Linked DNA regions of Lonchura striata. The protein of the gene in region 1 binds, or shares a complex with, the protein of each later gene. Links are inferred from orthologs where the notes say so. Each region holds a gene or a part of one and is shown on either strand. Other genes may lie near its edges. The genes, in order: CCKAR and CCK.

Evidence for each region.
Region 2: the proteins of CCKAR (region 1) and CCK are in contact, whole or in part, in a cryo-EM structure (PDB 7MBX), measured with the Homo sapiens proteins. The link is inferred for Lonchura striata from reciprocal best matches to the Homo sapiens genes CCKAR and CCK. Residues at the interface, in NP_000721.1 of Homo sapiens: Cys94, Phe97, Asn98, Pro101, Asn102, Lys105, Asp106, Phe107, Thr118, Met121, Gly122, Val125, Tyr176, Phe185, Asn194, Met195, Cys196, Arg197, Phe198, His210, Leu213, Leu217, Ile329, Phe330, Ala332, Asn333, Arg336, Ala343, Glu344, Leu347; in NP_000720.1 of Homo sapiens: Asp96, Tyr97, Met98, Gly99, Trp100, Met101, Asp102, Phe103.

Annotation. Positions count from the first base shown.
Region 1 is NC_134606.1:18,734,544-18,744,330, forward strand, and holds the start of CCKAR (cholecystokinin receptor type A), read right to left. Parts: upstream 4,540-9,787; coding exon 4,416-4,539; intron 3,685-4,415; coding exon 3,433-3,684; intron 1,287-3,432; coding exon 1,025-1,286; intron 1-1,024. UniProt on the Homo sapiens protein: Receptor for cholecystokinin. Mediates pancreatic growth and enzyme secretion, smooth muscle contraction of the gall bladder and stomach. Has a 1000-fold higher affinity for CCK rather than for gastrin.
Region 2 is NC_134603.1:112,404,433-112,414,329, reverse strand, and holds the start of CCK (cholecystokinin), read left to right. Parts: upstream 1-5,056; 5' UTR 5,057-5,176; intron 5,177-6,686; 5' UTR 6,687-6,688; coding exon 6,689-6,944; intron 6,945-9,897. UniProt on the Homo sapiens protein: This peptide hormone induces gall bladder contraction and the release of pancreatic enzymes in the gut. Its function in the brain is not clear.

The DNA.
Region 1 (9,787 bases):
ATGAAGAACTCCTAAGGAGGGATCCCAGGAGTGGCAATCTCTTAGGTAAAGGAAGCAGCTTTTATGAGGTTTCACATAGGCTGCTCTCCTAGACAGATTCTCTGATGTGGCGACAAGTTGGGGAAATAATGATGTTTAAATGCATCCATGAGCCTGTGTCTCTCCTGATCCCTGTGACTTTGGTGCAAACTCAGTAACACACCTGGGAATCTGTAAGCAGACACAGAGAAGAGAATTTCATCCTGTACCCTTCCTCCACATGCTGCCAAATACCTGAGACTACTACTGAAAGCATGAACACAAAGTTACTCTCTTGGTGGATATATCCTACCAAAATGGTGCAGACTTTAATCTTTTTCCCAACTGACCTTCAGTATCAAAAAAAAATCTTACGCTGTCTCAGTGCCAGTCAGTGTTCAGTCAACGTGCAAGGACACCGTGTCTAAGTACTATTGCTGTTTGATAGTGCTGCTGTTTACCCTGCCTGGATGTGTAGGACTGGGAACATGTCTTTCCCCACTTCCCTCTGTGCCTATTCTTCATAAGCAACCAAAAGGATTTTCAAATAAGACATTTTCAGCCTCATGTTCTACTTCTCTGCTACAAAGAACTTTCAAACAAATTAACAGGCAAGGCAGCACACGGAGGGGTGTGTCCGTGTTTCTCAAAGATTAATCAAGAATTTCTCTGAGAATGTTGAAGTTTATGTGTAAATGAGTGAAAGCAGTATTCCTACTACAAATGACAGATGCTTTCTTTAAAGTGACAGTTGGGGCTTAGCAGACCATGGCGTGAGAATCATTGCCATGTTGGGCAGTCGTTCCTGTGACAAAGGAAAAGTCATTCAAACGTCAAAATGTAAGCAGCTTAAAAATGTTGGGGTTTTTTTACATCCTAAATAAGAATGATAGAGTGCAAACATTTGCTGAAGGTTAATGCTTGATTTTCCATAGGCTTATTGCTACCACAAAATCCCATTTTCCAGCAGGTAATTACACATTTGCTAACAGCCAGTTATTCTTACCAAGACTGTTGAATGACATCGCTTGGCCAAAGGAGCCGACACATATTTGCTGTGGTGTTGTTGTACTTGGTGAAAGGTACCAGTTTGCTGTAGATTGGGTATGGTGACATGATAATGAAGGACACACACCAGGTCGCAGCAATCACTCTCAGAGCGTGAGATTTTGTCTGCCAGACCCTGGACTGCAGTGGTTTGCAAATGGCACTGTATCTCTCCAAAGATATGGCAACCAGGTTGAAGGTGGAGACACTTACAGAGACACCTATGCATATAAAATAAAGAAAAAAGTTATTCTCTTGTTTTAAAGCTTATGTTTTGTTCAAATGGTCTTAGTAGCTTGCTGTATGCATACAAAAATTTAAAAATATAGCAAACTGTTTATAAGCAAAAATATTTATAAACACCACACTGATGAAGTCAGTGAAGAATGTGTGGGCAGTGGGTCTGGGTCTCCAGACTGCTCCAGACTGATATTCCTGCTCTGCACTTCTCTTACTCCCAAAGTCCAAGAAGAAATACACACTATCAAATAATAAAATTCTGGTAACAGGGAAAGAAGACAATTTTACTCTTAATTATTCTCTTTGCTACTGTGGTTTGTTCACTAATTGCACTGAAATTCAAACAAAGCATTTGAAATCAGTTAATTACCCTCTTAACACAGATGTTCACAGTCCTTTTTTTATTGTTTTAATTTTTATGAGTGTCCTGCTTCACTTGTGATCTGATTTTCTCATTCAAGAGAGTTAATCCTATTACAACTTTTTAATTAGATGGTAATGGAGTTACAAACAAGGAGAAACGAAGTCATAAAGCAGAATCTTTGTCCTTCGAGTACCCTCAATTTTTTCTGTTCATATTTTATAAAGTATAGTGTGGTTGTATGTGTTTCTGTCATTGAGGTGCCCAAGTTCACCACTGTTAAATTATAAATATTTCCTCTTAACTTTGCCACAAATTTTTCTTTCAGTAAATGAGTTTTATTTGTCTTTGTGAATATGTGTCAGACTATCAAATGCCAATATTGTTATGGTTTGCTTTACAGAAATCATCTGTAATTGAAAATTTGTTTTTCTACATCTTAAAATGAGACATTTTAAGATGAAAAATTGAGCATAGTTGATGCAATGGTTGTCAGTGTCTGTTTGTCAGGTGATGCCTCTGTTACCTGAGCATTTAGTGGAAAATCTTCACATTCTGACTCCTAAAATAAAACACCTTAATAATAGGAAACTTTATGTTGGTCTATTTCACTGGATTTTTTAATAAAGTAATTTACACTGTGTGCAATAAGAGAAAGATGACAAAGCTTCAGTAATGTTTTAGGATATTTTTGCCAGCAATTCATTATAATTGTTTAAACATGGCCTTTAGTTTTATTGGTTTTATCTACAAAAAGATGTTGATTTCCCATTCGCACACTTTAGGTGTGTACTTTCACATTACATCAAAGTTCTCAAGGGCACAGGTTGAAAGGGGACCAGCGCTTTCTCTAATCAACTAAGGGGCTCCCAAAGCAGCAAAAACTTTACATAATCCTTTTTCTTTTTCTTTTTCTTTTTCTTTTTCTTTTTCTTTTTCTTTTTCTTTTTCTTTTTCTTTTTCTTTTTCTTTTTCTCTTTCTCTTTCTTTTTCTTTTTTGGTTTTTGGGTTTTTTTTATTGGTTTTGTTTTGTTTTGTTTTGTTTTTTTTGTTTGTTTGGATTTTTTTTTTTGTTAAGAAATTATCAAATGCAGAGGAAATATTAAAGTGAGACAAACTATCACTTACACACACATACACAACCAAGACATTTTGCAAATCCTAGAGCCTAGGTCCACAACCAAAAGGGGTATGACAAGGCATACAAAAGTAATGCTTTTTAAAGTCAGCCTCTAAAATCTATATCTGAGTTTTATGGTCTTCTGGTTAGCTCTGATCACACCTGGTCTGTCTGCAAAGAGTACTTGTGCTAACTTTTAGCTCTGCAAATGACACCTACTTTGGCCCATTTCTTTTCTTTTTTATGTATCACTGCTGCCAAAATCTGTGGGTAAATTCTGCCCTTGCTGAGGGTGTACAAGCCCATCATTTCTGGTGGGTGATCTGAACACTGATAAGAATCTTGTCGGTGATGGGTAAGCAAGTGCATGTGCTGGGTTCCTCATTAAAGTTTGATCATGCAACATCTTCACATCCAGCAAAACACTTCTGTATGTCATTAAAATTACCTGTGTGTGCGCCTCTGTTTTGCTGGATCAGACCAAGGACACCAGAACCATGAAGATTTGCACTACGAAGTTGTTTCTTTGTAATAATAGTAACTTCAATGATGGATGGAAACAATCAGACTTTTATAGATCTTTAAATATCTTCTCACCTGTCTCATTAGTCAGTCTTCAAAATAAGTATAAACATCCCAGACTTACCCATGAAATATGTGGCAGTTTTACAAACAGCACTTCCAAAAATAAAATCTTTTAGCAGGTTGGGAATAAGGGTGAAAGGCATGCAGAAAAGGCAGAGCATCAGGTCACTGACTGCTAGTGACAGCAGAAATGTGTTGGTGACTGTTCTCATCCGTTTGTTTCTTATCAGCACCGTAATCACCAGAATGTTCCCCAAAATGCTGAGCAGAAATATCAAGCAATACAGCAGAATCCGTATTATCTGATGCAAATCTGAAAATTGTCGCAAGAAAAGATCAATTGCATAGTATTGAACTCAGATTATATATTTCAATCTTTAATCAGAAGGTAAAAGCCTTTCTGTATTCAATTTTATGAAGGTTTATGTCTTTACACAAACAAAAAATGTCTGAAAGTGCTGAAATTCTTAAATTAATGCTAAATTGCATAGCATTAATCTACAATATAAGCAATACAATCTACATTTGGAGAGTCAAATACAACTTCTTAAAACATGTGCTTCTCATGCTACTGACTGCACCACTTACTCACCATGGGAGATCCTATTTTATGCAAAGGTAAGAAAAGATCAAGCAATCAATACACATTTTAATATATGAAATTTTTTTCAGCTTCAGAGTGCTATGATTTCATATTAAATCATTTTCATACATGGTATCAGATCTGATCACTCCATCATTATTGAATTGAGTAAAAATCATGCTTCTCCAAGTCCTTAGCAGAGATATTTGCATTTCGTGCTCCAAAGTGCTAGTGGGGTTTTTTTTGCATTATATTCAAATTTTGTCCTAGTTCAATTCTGAACTTGGAAAACCAGCACATACTAAATTTTTTGCTACCTGTTTCTCATACTAGCTTAAAAACAAGCAATTGATTTTTCACTCTCTCAGAGAAAATGCCTTGCATAGCTCTTTCTTTCTACAGTATCTCTGCATCCAGCTAGAACTAAAACTGCCTGGAAAAAAACAATTTTCCATACATACCTTTAGAAGGATAAGGTGCATCATCCACACAGAAAAAAGTGTCATTTTCCAAGATGATATTGCAGAGGAAATCAGTAATGTTGGTACCATTCCCAAGGAAGCTACTAGTATCAACTATTTCCATTCTTCAGTATCCACAGGGTAGCTTTGATGAAGAAGAGGGTGGGTTTGTAACTATCTGCCCATGCTTTCAGTAAACAAATGGTTTCTGAATGAATTCTTCAGAAGAAATACAAGAGAGGCAGCTGTGCAAGGAAGCTGTTCTGACTCTCCAGCAGGAGCACCCAGCACAGAGTCCTGTTCTGGCTGAACAAGATTTATTCCAGGGGCACACACGGCCCCTCAGAAAAGCAGAGCGTGTGCACACACACACTCACACGTATGCACACACACACATATATCCCCCCCGGGTACTTTTTAGATCCACCCTCTTCTGTTACTGCACTACTGTTGGGATTATAAACAGGCTAGAAAAAGATTACAGCATTAACCCCTTGCAAGATTGCTTCTACTCATGTCTCTGCACTATTTCTGAGAGTCAGCCTGTGAGGTCACAGCCTATAAACGAGACACAGTGAGTGAGGAGAGTGATAAATCTGTCTCTCAACTAACATTTAAAATGGTATGAGTTGCTTAATAAAAGCAGAGAAGAGAAAAACATAGTGAAGATTTGGCATTCCTTACATGGAAATGATTCTTGTCTTCATATTTTTCAGAGTAAAGTGAAGATAGGGTAGACTCAGAAAAATAAAAGCAGCTACATTTATCTCAATTGGCAAAGTGCTAGATTCATACAAAAGTGCTGTACCTGCCTGATCCAAACCCCAGCAAGTCAATAGAAAAACTCACTAATTTCACTTAGTGGATCAAATCTTATGAAACTATATTCGAATTGTCAGTTAATATGAGAAGAAGCCTATACATTTCCTCTGTGCAAGAACTTGTACACAACTCGACAAACTTGATAAACCTGATAAATCATGGCACATTACTTACACATCAGTGGAAAACACAAAGATCTCAGTGGTTTAAAAGTTTGGCTTTTTTATTAAACATCATCCTCACTGGTGTTTTCACAAAGTCATGGGCTTTTACTTTCCAGTATATAGCTTGTTTATGTCCAGAAATAAATATTAATATTAGGAATTAATCTCTACTATATCTGAATGAAAAACTAATTTCACATTTAAAATCCCTTTTACTTAAAAGCAGGGCAGTAACAGGTTCTTTATAACAAATCCTGGCCCCTCAAACCTGATATACACAGACTGGAAAGCCTGGCTTTCTCTTCCAGTCTTGCCAGTTTTCCTTTATAGTACGAATAATGGGAATAGGGATGTAGGAAAGTAGATTGAAAAGTTACATTGAAAGTTCCAAGTTCTCAATTACCCCTTGTAGCTCTGGGAGCCCTGGATGCAGCTGGCCATCAGTGGCCCATACCCACCCACCCAGCACAGTCCCACCTTGCTCTCTGGGTGCGAGAGGCTGGCCAGGGCTGTGGTTAACACTGTGAAGCCAGTGCAGGTTCAAGGCACTTCAGTGTCAAGACATGCTTGCTAAGCACATGCAAGATGGGTGAAGCCAGTGAGGCCAGCAGCCACGGCCGGAGGCTGCACAGAGCTGTCAAACAGGCAAACTCACCAGGCTGCACTGGACAGCTCACCCTGCGAGGCAGCCAAGGAGCTGGATCACAGTGGTAGGAGACAGCAGGTGCAGCACAGGCTTGAACAGCTGAGGGGTAAGTACTGAGCCATAACGAACTCCAGAAGGTACTAATTTCAACCAAAAGCAAGAGCAGAATGTGTGAGGGAATGATACTCTGTGCAAATCCCAGCAACTATGGAGTTAGTGTTTAAAACAAACTGGACCACCTTGTTCACATACTCAGGACTCCAAGTGTATAAGGTGCAGCTTTCCTCTACAAATTTGTACAGAGTTTTTTATCTGTTATTAGAGTCCTCATCAGTTTTCCATCTCTGAACGCCAGGCTTACAGACTGGCTCACAATTTCAAGGGTTTACTTCCCACGGAGTGCTTTTTAAACATTGGAATCACATTTACACAAATTTTTTTCCCTGGCAACAACATAGTTCTAAACAATAGATTGCACATCATAGTTAATAATTTTACTATTTCCTTTAGAAGTTCTGGATGAATACCATCTGGTCCTGGGCTGAGCTCGATTCAGCATCTGCTAGTTAAATTGCCAGAGTAAATGAGGAAGAATTTGCTATGAACTCTTGACTCCCATTTTGGAGTGGATTTCTGCATTAAACATATTGAGATCAAAGAGTTTTGTTTTTCTAGGCTTTTATTTGGCATAGATTTACTCAAATGTACAGCCAATAGTACTCATGTTTGAACATTTCTGAGTTGCCATTGTAATATTATTTCCCTCCACTACATTAACTAACTGCTTGGTAGATCACTCTCCATGCAGATCAGTGTCATCTCATTGTTTCCCTGCAAGTTTCAGAAGAGACAAAAAAAGGAGGCTTTAACTAAATGCCTGCTCATTGCAGATGCAATTTTATCATTTAGGAGAAACAAAAACCCGAGTGTCTGTCCACTTGTACTTAATTATGCATTATTTGGGATGTTGAAAGTTTTAGGCAAGAACTTCTCTGGAGCTGGCTGTTTTATTAGCAACACTGATTTATTAATAAAATTTGGTTTTAATTAAGAAACAATTTAGGTATCTTAATATGACTGCGTTGATAGTTTGGACAAAAGTATACGAAAATATGTTTCCCTATATTTGAAGGAGGCTTGCTAATCCGTGATAACAAAAGAATCTGCCTCTTTTAATTCTAGTCTTAATCCTTTTCTCCCCTGTAATGTCATATAATGAACACACTGCCCTTGCAGCCAAAACAGTTGCAGTGCTCTGCCATTTCCTGCTATCTATATATATCTTTTCTCATCCAAAACTAAACCACATCAATTTAACAGTTACCTCATTCTTTTTTCCTGAAGAATACTCTGTTCTGTTTCTTCATTAATTTGACAAAGATCTTTACTTAAGTTAAATAGAAAATCTAATTGTAAAATGATGAATTTGGAAAAGCATATCTGTAGCTGGTATCAAATTTACAAATAGGTTTATGTTTCTTACCAGGTCTTTTTTGTCCTGACAAGTGAATTGAATAAAACAATTAGAAAAAACATATATGGAAAGTCATGGTCTACTTCTGTTCTCACTCACCAGGTTGATACTGGCATTAGGCCTCTGATTCAGTGGAGTTACTCTCACAGGCACAAATAACAGGGAGATTAGAACTAAGCCACACTTTTGGAGAATGCACAAAATTTTCATGAACACATTTATCATAAACCTTTTCAAGGCAATCTGAGCCGTAGTCCTATCAGTGTCTCACAGTAGCTGCATTTAAACTATTTATTTCATCCTGACCTGAACTAAATAATATAAGGAAGAAATTTACTTCTGAGCACCTTGTTGAACTATCAGTGATTTCCAAAATACCATTCACCAACCATAGATGGGATCAAAGGCAAACAAGGTGCTCCTGCTGCCCCTGCAGTGGTTCTGCAAAGGGCACGTATTACATGGTGTGTTGCTTAATTAATCTCTGGAAGACTCCACAGGTCTTCAATGATGAAATTATTGTATTTAGGTCACATTAGTATCAAGACACATCTCAAGGTATCTTTTAAATTGTTTGGAGGTGACCACTTTTCATTGTTTTGAAGTGCAAATTCATAGTGTTTGAACTTCCTGGATGTTTATAGTACCTGGCCTGCCTGTGAGATGCAAGACAGCTGGTCCTGATGCCTTCATGGGCATCCAGGCAGCCTGTCCTACCACCTTCCTCAGAAAAGAGGAAATGAGACCTCTCAGGTGATAGCTGTGAGTTCTCTACAGTGTTCAACTCTCTCTGATGAAAGGGATGAATAAAGCATATTGTCTCTGTAAATCCTCAGGTCCAATTTCATAATCATGGTTAAGTTTCTATGGGCTTCCAGGTGCAAAAGGGATTTCTGCTCCAGAGATTTCTGTGCAAGTTCTGTACACAATTTAGGGAAACTGCTTCAAAGAAATCTGTGTAAATATTTCATAACAATCCTTCTGACGCCCTGTGATATTACTGAAGTCTGGAATGAGTCATTGTCCACTCATTCTGCCCAAATGGTTCACCATGCACGCTGCTCCTCATGTTGGCAATTCTCAGACTGTCACTGAGCTCAGCTGCATCTTCTCTCCCCATGCATCTAGCCCTCTAACTATTAAAAATTGAGGGCAGAAGTTACATCAATGCTCTCTGAACAGCTAAAGCTGATCCTTTTCCTTTTTGTGTCTTATTGTAACAGATACATAAGTGTTATGAAGAATGAATACACACTCATGAAAGAGGAAGATAGATATTTTTAAAACGTGTTTGTTTCTTTTGCAGGCTATACATGATGTTGTACAACTCTTTCTGTCCCTTCACCCTTTGAATATTAATTTGCTAGAAAACACAGCTCAGGATTTAAGCTAGAGATGCAAGCAAATAGTCCTGCATGCCCTTATGCTGTGGGTATATTACATGCTAGAACCCCACACCAAGTAAACTGCATCAACACATGGCTCAGGAGATCCCTTTTTTTGGATTATATTAACAGCACCAAATGTTGGTACTAATAATGTTCTCCTTTGAGCAAACCTTTCCATATTAGACCAACATCAACCAAAGTCAAAATCCATCACATGTTCTAAGGTATTGGTAATCTGAGATTTTTCTGATGTACAGTCATGGCATGGCTTGTAAAAAATAGATGAAAGATCAGGGATTGCCACCAGAAACAACCCCAATAGGTTATAACATCAGCAACAAAATGGTACAACTCCTCTTGACAGTACTCAACTCCCTAACAAAGCTCAAAACAGCAACAGCTGCTAAATAAAGCCTCACCTGTAACAACTGAGAACCACAGTCTTTGATTTTAAGATTCCAGTTAGGCACGTGACAAAGAGTCACAACTATTTTACCACAAGAGATTTGCATTAGCATATCTCACAGAGGTATATTAATGAATTAGTTATGTTAACTGCAGCTGTTATGAGTTTCAATTTAAAGATGAAAAAACAAAGTATTTGGCACAGGCCACTCGGTGGGAGAGTGGAAGAGTTGGGAAAAGCAAGGAAGACTTTTCAGATTGCTGCTGTCTGATACTTTGCTCTCAAAAGAAGCCATGCTATCCTCATGACGCTAAGATCGAATGGATTTCCACATTTCCACAGAATTAGATGAAGAGATGTTAGCATCACAACACCAACTAAGTAATTTAGAGAGTGGCTGTGCGATTAGCAGGGAGGAAATGGAGGTCAGCTGATGTATTATTGGGTGAATTGGTACCAGCATGTCTGAAGC
Region 2 (9,897 bases), on another chromosome or scaffold:
AGCAACAAGCAAGAGAAGCTCCAACATAACCCCCAAAGTACTGCTGAAAGCATAGAGAATTTGCCAGCAACAAGCACCTCATATATCTTTGATATTTTTATCTAGCACATTGATTTCCATTTCCAGTTTTCAGCTTGCACAAAAGCCCCTATACTGCGGTCAGTTTGGAAGATACATATAGCAAGTTCCCACAGAAAATCAGTTTGGTCTTTCAGAGATGAAAATAAACAAACACACAAAAAAACATATAAAAAAGCAAGTGATTTGGGATTGGGTGGTCTCATAGAAGCAACTGTGATTTTTTTCTGTTCCACTTTGCCATATCTTCTGGAAAGTACACGGAACAAAATTTGAAAACATCACACAAGTTTTCCAGTTGTTCTACAGGAAACTTGCATACCAACTGTCTGAATTTCACAGGACACAGGTTAAAATCTAATTTTCAAAAAAATCCAACCCTTCTCCTTGGAAAAGGGATTTTTCCTCTTATTTTCCTTCTTCACACAACTGCAGGATAGTGGGTAACTTTAATTACAATCCATTATTTTGCATTAGTGCACATAGTTCACACCAGGAGTACTCTTTTGAAACAGACTTCTTTACTGTGAGGCTGGTGAGGCACTGGCACAGGTTGCCCAGAGAAGCTGTGGCTGCTCCACTTCTGAAGGTGTTCAAGGCCATGTTGAGGGGCTCTGACCAACCCGATCTAATGGGAGGTGTCCTTTCCTGTGGCAGCAGGGTTGGAACAAGATGGTCTTCAAGCTCCCTTCCAATCCAAGCCAGTTTATTTCACTATGATTATTCCCACGTTATATTCTTTTGTTTCCATTGCAGAACAGTCTGTGAATGTTCAAACATCCTCAGCACCGCTCTGCTGATCTGCTTCTATGGGGCCCTTCTTTAGGTATATTATTCAGGGACTAATATATTAGTTTGATCACTGCTCTGTGAAAGGAGGTCAGAATTCTTCAGGCAGAGGACCCAGATCCCTCACTGCTGGTCACTTACCCAAAACCAAAATTTCTCACTTAGTTTTTGGGTTGGCTCTAAGCAGAGTTTACATTCCTCTCAAGTGGAAGAAAAGAGACTACAATGAAAGCATTTACATAGAAATTACTGAATTAAAATTTTAAATATTTGGGAAAAGCAAAATACCAAAAATTTATTGTCTGAATCAATGTTAAAATACAGCAGAACAATGTGCTGTCTTAAAATATATTCTCTACTTTACATCTACAATGCAGTTGGTCCTAATAATCTGTTCACCAATTCACCTGGTAATTCCAGAAAACCATTCCATTCCCTTCCCTGCTATCCTCTGCCAATTATTCCCACTTCACTGTAATCCTCCAGAGTGACACTCCATCATCTTCACATTAAAACAAACAAACACCCAACAAAACCCAAAACCAAACAAAAACCCACATTAATTTGACTAAATATAGAACAGAATATTACCTATAAGTGTCAGGGTCCAGATGGAAGTAAAAATACCCTGCATAGTGATAATCAGAAAAAAATCTAATACTTAAAAGAAAAAGAAGGTATTTCTCGTGCATGTCATGCACCTGGACATGAAGCCCCCTGGTGCCACAGGATATCTCCAAGGCTGCATCTCCAAGCTTGATGCCACTCCAACACTCACAGGCAGGCTATGCTCCAGCTCTCAGCAGAGAGACAGGGACATGAGCACCGTGGCTGATGCTCCAACTATTGGTGCCAGCCATTCCCATTGCAGGACAGACATAAAGAAATCTCTCCATCCCACTGTTCCCATGCTGCCTTCTTGCTCCAAAGCTCCCAGCTTTGTGCTGGCACAGCACAAAATGAATACTTAACCATACACACTCTTTTGCCTCCTCAGCTAAACACGAGAAAACCTTTGGCAGATAAATAGAGAAAGCAATTGAGGATAGAGGTGTCTTGATTGTCAGGAGGAAAGGTTAGAGAAACTCATATCCTTTAACAGACTCTTGCCAGAAGACAAATCTTTAAAAGCCTGCAGTATCTAAACGATTGCATCTTTCAGCTCCTCCCCAGGGATGTACCTATATTAGCATTTACTGCATTGCAGGGTTCACTTTAGGTTTAAATTTGTTTTGCATATATACTTGGGTTCTTACAATATCACTCAAGCTCTGCTGCAGTCAAAACACTTTCCTTCCTGGTGCTCTAAGGCTGAAGCCTTGTGTTAGAGCAGCCTCTGTCTCACCCCACCTGTGATAGTGCCACAAGGCCCTCCTGTGGCTGACACTCTCCAATCCATGGTGCACGTCTAGGCCCAGCACCTGACAAAAACACTGGACCTGGAACCTAGAGGTCACTGCAAATTAAATCCCAATTCCTACCTTTTGTACCACATCAATAAGTAACATAATACATAGTCTGAGTTTCTGCAGGCAACTCACCTCAGAGTCCTGCTGTTGTATTTGCTCATGCCAAACAGGCTTTCTGGTCTTCTATGTCTGCTCAAAACAATTCTAAAATGCCATTAATTAACATATATTTACCAAGGACTGAAACTTTCCTACAACTTCAAACTTTCACTGAAGAGAAAATAAGCCAGAAAATAATCACCAAGGACTGTACATACAGGTACCTGTAATACAGGTATTAAAGAATTCAGTTAGGAAAATCCAGTGTTCAAAAGTCAATTAGCCAGGCTATAGATCGTGCAGCATTGCTGACTTTAATAATAATGACATTATTCCTGTTTCCTTTATTCTATTTCATATGGCATTGCCTTTCTGTCTGTTCATGGGCACAGCTAGGGAGTTTGTCACACATATGCACACTCATACACACTCCATTTGTCCAATCCCAGATACATTTATAAGTGAACTGAGATTCCAAATAAGCTCGATGTAAATGTAGTGTGTATTTGTTCAACCAGGCTAATATGTCAGACTTAAATGCCTGCATTTATATCTGTCTGATGTGAATTATTCATGAGTGTATATTAGCAAGCGGTCTCTCTTTCTCATCTGTTAAGCTTTGAGCTGGTCCCTTGGGAGCTCATTATCTACAGTGGGTTTCACAAGGGCTTGATGTGACTCTACCAGAATTGTTATTTTACCTTCCCAGAAAGCCTGTGATACTCTGGTTCCCAGACACCTACAGTTCAATTCAGAGTCGACTATTTAATTGTCTAATAGCAGTGAGTATCTTTCCCATTGAGCCAAAGTAGTGAAATTGAATTATCTGGAATGTTACCGAGATTTTTTTCCAGAGACAGACAGAGCCATTGGACAGGTACTGCTGAAATAATTTCAGGGCTGTTACTTTCCCTAGCAATCTGCTTCGACTAACTTTTCCCTTTTCAAAGGAGGTTTTGATTTTGTTTTTTAAAAGCACTGCGGGATGATGACGCTGCCCGAAGCCAGCGCCAGTGTGAGAGATGAACGGCAGCCCGCAGCTCAGGTGCCGCATCCCGCTCGGCAACACCGTGTCAGCAGCTGGAAGGCGGTGAGAGAGCTTGTCCATCGCCATCTCCGCCACCTCCCAGCCTCGCACCACCAGGGTGACGGGACACGGGAGCCGCGGCATCCCTCTCCCAGCCGTCCGCTCCATCATCACCGGCGCCTCAGCTCGGGCGCGGCCGGGCATCGGCAGCCAGGGCTCCCCGCGCTGAGGAGGCGGCAGCAGGTCGGCTTTTCCCCGCTCGCACGGCACACGGCACCGCCCTGCCGCGGGATCTCGTGACTTTTCCCTGGATCTCCGTCCCTCGTGCCGCCGGATTCCCCGGGGTGCGCGGGGCCGCGGCGCCCTCTGCGGGCCACGGCGGGAAGGGCGCGGGGGGTGCGCGGGACGGCGTGAGGCGGGACCGGCGCTGCGGGAAGGACGGGAAGCAGCGCGCTTTTCCCCCAGGAGCCCTGGGTTAAGAGGTTAAGAGCACACACGCCCCCCGTGCCCTGCCTTGGCGGATTGGAGCCCTCTCAGCCGCCGCTTGGGCACGGCCCGGCCGGCGCTCCGCACCCCCGCACCGTCCGCACAGCACAGGCGGCTCCCCGGGGAGCCTCGGTGTCTCGGGGCTGCCCAGCTCCCTTCCTGCAGAGGGAAAAGCAGCCCACCCACTCTTGCCTCCAAACCGTAAACTCTAAGGCACAGATTCGGCGGAATGACGCCTGAGCCCAGAGCTGGCTCCGAGGAGCGGCTGCTCCCGGGGGCTGAGCTGCGGAGAGTTTCGGGGTTACCGCACGGCTGCCCCAGCCGGCGCTGCCCGTCCCTCTGCGGCCTCGGCGTGGCAGCCCGGGCAGCCCGAGCTCGAGGGCGCTTCCTCCATCCCCGAAAAGCAGGAGGCGGGAGGGCGGCACAGTGTCCGAGGCTGCTGCGGACACACCTGGCGAGCATCGCCTCGGGGCAGCACCGGCCCGGCCGAGGTCGCGGGAAGGGACGGTGTTCCCTGCAGCGGCGGAGGAGACTCTGGTAGTTCTGTGGTCAGCGAGGGAGAGCCCACGCCGAAGGCATCTCCATCCACGTCTTTTGCGGGGATCGCCCATGGCTTTATGCTTTGCTTTTTAAATAAAATGAGTGTCCCGTCTTCCCGAGCAGATGTTTAGGAGAGGAAGGGGAGGATGGAGGCATTTGTCACCGCGGGCTCAGGTCACCGGAGGCCTCAGAGAATGGAACCCAATGCCCCAGACCCCGCACCTGCCAGCGCCGGTAAGCGCGGCCAGGGCGAGCCTCCCCCGCCTCCGGGCGGCTCCCGACTGCCGGAGCTGCCGGTGCTGAGGGCATGAGCCCCACCTGGAGCCTCCGGCAGGGGACGGAGGTGTGGGCATACACCGGTCAGGAGCATTTTGATTGCCCAGCTGCAAGGCAGCAAGGCGCTTCCCTCGGGGAGGGCCGGGAGCGGCCGTCGGGGCCGGCCCGCGGGGCAGCGCCAGCCCCGCGGAGCCGCGCTCCTGCGCACCCCGCGCACCGCGGCGGGGAAGGAGCCCCGCTCCCCCCGCGGAGCGCACACACCCCCGGTGCCGGTCCCCGGGGCGGGGAGGGGCGGCACGGGGGGCTGAAGCGGGCGGGGGCCCCGGCTGCGTCAGAAATGTGTAAACACCGCCTCGGTGCCCGCCGCTATTTAAGCGGCCGAGGCTGAGTCTCCCCCGACTTCCCTGCTTGGGCACGCTCGGGACTCACTGCTCCCGACTCGAGAGGGACCTTGGAAAAGCGCAGCGGAAAGGTAGGGAGCGCCTCTTCTGACGGCGCCACTGCTGAGGGCGGGCAGGCAAAGGAAATGGGGGTGCCTGGAGCTTACCTGTGCGGCGGCTCGGCGGGCATCCCGCTCTGTGCCGGAGGAAACGCTTCCCGGCGGGGAAGAATTCCGGCCGCTCCCGACGAGCGCGGGCAGCCGGGTGGACCCCAGCGCGGGGTGCGGGGAGCGGCGCGCAGGGCTGCCCACCCTGGGCAGCTGGGAGGGGAACCGGCCAGCTGTGGTGAGACGTGGGATTTGGAAACCACAGCAAAGACATGAGTACTTAGATATGTGTGTGTGTGTGTGTGTGATATATACATGTATGTGTGTAAAAAATACAGGACTCGGGACAGCTGAAAGGTGCAATGCACCATCAGTCTCCGAGTACCCAAACCTAGACGGGTACATCACTAATAACCACACTGGAGTGACATTTTGACATTTCAACTTTCTTCACTCATCTCCTGAGAATATTTTAAACCCCCCGTGGTTTATATACCGTGAATTATTTTGACTAGAGTATGTGTTGGCTAAATAAACTTAATTTTATCCCTTTTTAAAATTTAAAGGCTTTTATTAAGTGTACGGTTAGAGAACTGAAGCAGTTCAAAAAAATTTCATGCAGCTGAGATAATCCATGTGTATTTATAAGTGAAAATTACCCCATAGCATGAAGTACTAGGTAGTTTGTTTCTTCTAAGAATTGAGAGCAATTTCACTGTTTCCAGGAAAAAAAATACCATTTCAGCTTATGTGATAAAATTATTTAGAAAACCAACATTGTTTTGCTTAGTACACTGCTTAGCAAGAAAGCAGTAGAAATCTAAATTCTCTTTTTAAGATGAAGAAGACTATTAAGTTGCACTTTATTTCTTACAGCTTTTAACTATACAGCTTTTACCCCTCCAGCTATTAGACCAAATGTTTTGGGGCAAGAGTATTCGATTTTGGTTTTTCTTTCACTGCAGCAAGATTTTGGTTTTCTTCTTTTTGTGTATGATAGGATGAAACCTCTTGAACACTAAAGTTCAAATCAATGAAGACTGGTAGAATAAAGGCTCTTCATAGAACTTGTCAAAACTGAGTATCTATAATAATAGCAAGGTTTTAATGCAATAGCAAAATACTGAAATATTTGAATCACGAGTTTTTTCACAGAGATGGATTCGAGTCCATTAAGTTTTTATGAAATACATCTTCAAAAAAAAAAAAAAAAAAAAGCAATTAAGAATCGAGTAGATCAGGGAGATACAGCACATACTAGGATCGAAGAAACAAAATTAATTACTGGTACCTTCCTCTTTAGCAAGGATATTTAGCTATTCACATGTATATTTTCCAACTTAAGACAGATCCTGCAGGTACACACATTAAAAAAGACCCAACACGAGCCTAGTTTGCTCAGAAGCCACCATCCCCAATGGAAGATGGGGTTAGGGGCTGCACAAAACGTAGTCAATCTGATCATGTAACAGCCCCCTGTCCCTTTTCTCCCCAGCAATGTACAGCGGGCTATGCATCTGCGTGTTCCTCGCCGTGCTCTCGGTGAGCTCCCTCGGACAGCAAACTCTGGGCTCGCTCGATGGGCATCCTCTGCCTGCCGAGCTGGAGCAGAGCCTGCCGGAGCATCAGCGGCACTCCCGCGCCCCGGCGGCTGCCGGGCCCCTGAAACCCCTGCAGCGGCTGGATGCCAGCAGTGACCAAAGAGCCAACATCGGCGCCTTGCTGGCCAAGTATCTCCAGCAAGCCAGAAAAGGTACTGCTTACAGCCTGCTTCTGTGCCGCTGGGATTTCCTGCAGGGGTTCCTAGGAGTTGAGATAACCCTTCTATCATTTAACATGTATTCCTAGAGAAGATAGGTTTTTCATTTTGCCTGCTTGTCCCTGAAGTAGGCAGCATTTCAAATGCTCTCTCCCAAACCCTTGCCAAAAAAAAAGGTTTATTTGACTGAGAGTCATATAAAGATAACTGGAGAAAATGTCACTGACCTTTTAGGTTATAGTTCAGCTTTTATTTTTAACTATTTTCATTGCCTTATTATTTTGGTGCTCTTTTCGGTATGTTGTATCTCAGATAAAATAATTATGTTTTCCTTGAAGTCTCTCAATTTAGTTAAAATACTCTCTTCCTCCTTCTTTTAAAGTTAGAAGAGCAGGAAGACTTTTCTGAGGATGAATGCAGATCAAATGGCTAGCCTCACTTCAGTCAGAAATCCCTGTTCCAAGGAAATATTCTGAGTATTGGATTTTTCATATATTTGTTCCCAGAGGAAATGATGATAGCATGAAAGCTTTCAAAACACTGAATTTATATTTATTAGTGCAATAATTAAAATCAATGATAAGCAAAAACATATTTGCTTCCACACACATTAATTCCTGGTAGGCTTTCGGTCTCGGGCAGCCTGGGAACACAATCTTGCAGTTATCTAAAACTGTCTCTGTGTAACAAGGACATGAAGAATCAGTAGAGGAGTGGGATTACAGGACATTCTTATAATGAGATTTATTAGCCACTTGAGGAAACAATTGTATTGCATGAGAGAAAGAGTAAAGCTATCCCTGTTGACACCTTACAGAATATATCTTATATAGGCAGAAAAGCATGCCATTGGTGCTACCAGTAAAAATGATGGTCCAAAATCATTGACCACTGAAACTTCCCCAAGAAAACATTTTTCCTTTTGAGCTGTCTCATCTCTGTCCTGCTTGGTGTCTCAATAGAGTAACACCATGGGCAGCCTAATTGCTGTGGCCTTTTGGCTGCCAACCTCAGTGAGAGCCACTAGAGAAATTTTGTTTACTCATGAAAGCTTCACTCCAGCCTTTGCCCTGTTCTACACAGAAAAGACATCTAAGAAGAAAAGAGGATTTCAAGAGAAGCCAGTAATTAGGATTAGGATTACCTAGACATACAGACATTGAGAAATTAATTCACACCTAGCTCCAGACTGTGCTTAGGATAAAGTTCACTTTATATAAGAAAGAGCTTTCTCCACATAATGCAGATCATTTAACCCTCACCTCTTGACAGCTTCCCTGCTGATCTCTATGCTCAGCAAAGTCCTATGCGTATATGTGATGGTGGTCTGCAATTAAGAGATGCCACATCTGGTTTTTGTGCATTACATGTGCAGCCATACACACTCCTCTGTGTACTCAGAACACAGCCAAATTAAAAACAACAGAAAAATTAATTACTTCCAATAGTGCCTGGAAGATTTCATCTCATGTTAACGATTTGCATGATATCCATTAAGAAACAACTTTTAGCTGTTCATGCAATTAAATGGAGAGATAATTCAGATATGAAATTCCACAATTCAGCACTGCACTTAAGGCTGTTATGGAATAAGACTGTTACTGCAGCAGTCTGCAAAGCAGAATTCTCATTACCTTTCCCCAGCATAGTCATTGTTGCCCACCCACATGGAAACGGAAGTCCTCATTCTAGTTTATATAGCCATTATATTCTCTTAAATATGTGGTTGATATTTCCAAATAGATTAACCAGATAAAGCAAAAAAAAAAAAACCAAAAAAAAACCACCCTTTGGATTTAATTTTTTTTTTGTAAATATTAATATGAGGGACATTTTCCTGCATATGTATTATTGACATATATAATTAATTCTAAAAATAGTCTGGAAGCAGATGATGAGATTCTTGTGATGTGACTAGACTAGTTAGACTCTAGTTTGTAGATGTAGTTGTTGGAGAGAAAATTCACAGGAAAACCAGTATTTATTTAAATTGTAACCTATATACAGTGTTCCCATCAAAACATTATATTCTCATTTAATGTGAAGACTCTGGACAGTACTTCAGCAATCTCTGCAGAACACTCACACCTACTGTATTAGTCACCTAATATCTAAACCATAATAATCACTAGAAAATTCCAGAGAGAGCCCGGACTTTTGTTAGTGTTAGCAGTCACTAGTAGTAGCATTTGCCCTGATGAAGGGCTGGTTTTGTAAAGTATTTCTAGTTAAATCAGTGATAGAGCTAAGTTCTCTCAAGGGCTTAGGGATTGATGGCAGTCCTGTAGCTGAACTGCTACAACTTTGAGTATGTTTGTCATACACTGATCCTGCAATACCCACATGACATCTCTAGTGGATTCAGGAGAGGTAATTAATGTGATGTTAGGAAATTTGTCACCCAGGCTTTCAATTATGTTCATCTGCAGGCTTTCAGCTTGAATCTGGTGCCATGCAGAAGAGATGTTGTGGCTCTCAAACCAGTGACAGGCACATTTAATGTCCTCTAAGGAGCCCTTGGCTGGCCAGACAGTAGTGGCACCAGGGGAGCCTTTATGGCCCTCAGGTCATGGCAGGCTCAGAAGTCTCTTAAGCATCGACATCTGAGTGATGGTTCTGCACTGCCTGAGTCCTGCCTGGTTATTGTGCTAAGGAGGCATTGTCATTGCCTTAATTACACTTCTTGAATTATGAATGTGAACTTCATGGCATTTAATGGCATGAGCTTCATGAGCATTTAATGATAGACATTCTATTCTAGGGAAAATTAATTTTTTTTGTCATTTTGTTGTAGGTAAATGTCTTAATGGCTTTTTTGTATGTGTACCTTCAACTCCCTGCAACCACTAACAAAGCAATGCAGCTGCTTTTTGTTTCACTGAGTCATGTTCATTATAAAGAACTACATGAGGAAGACCTTAAAATATAAAAGTTCAGAGTCAATAGA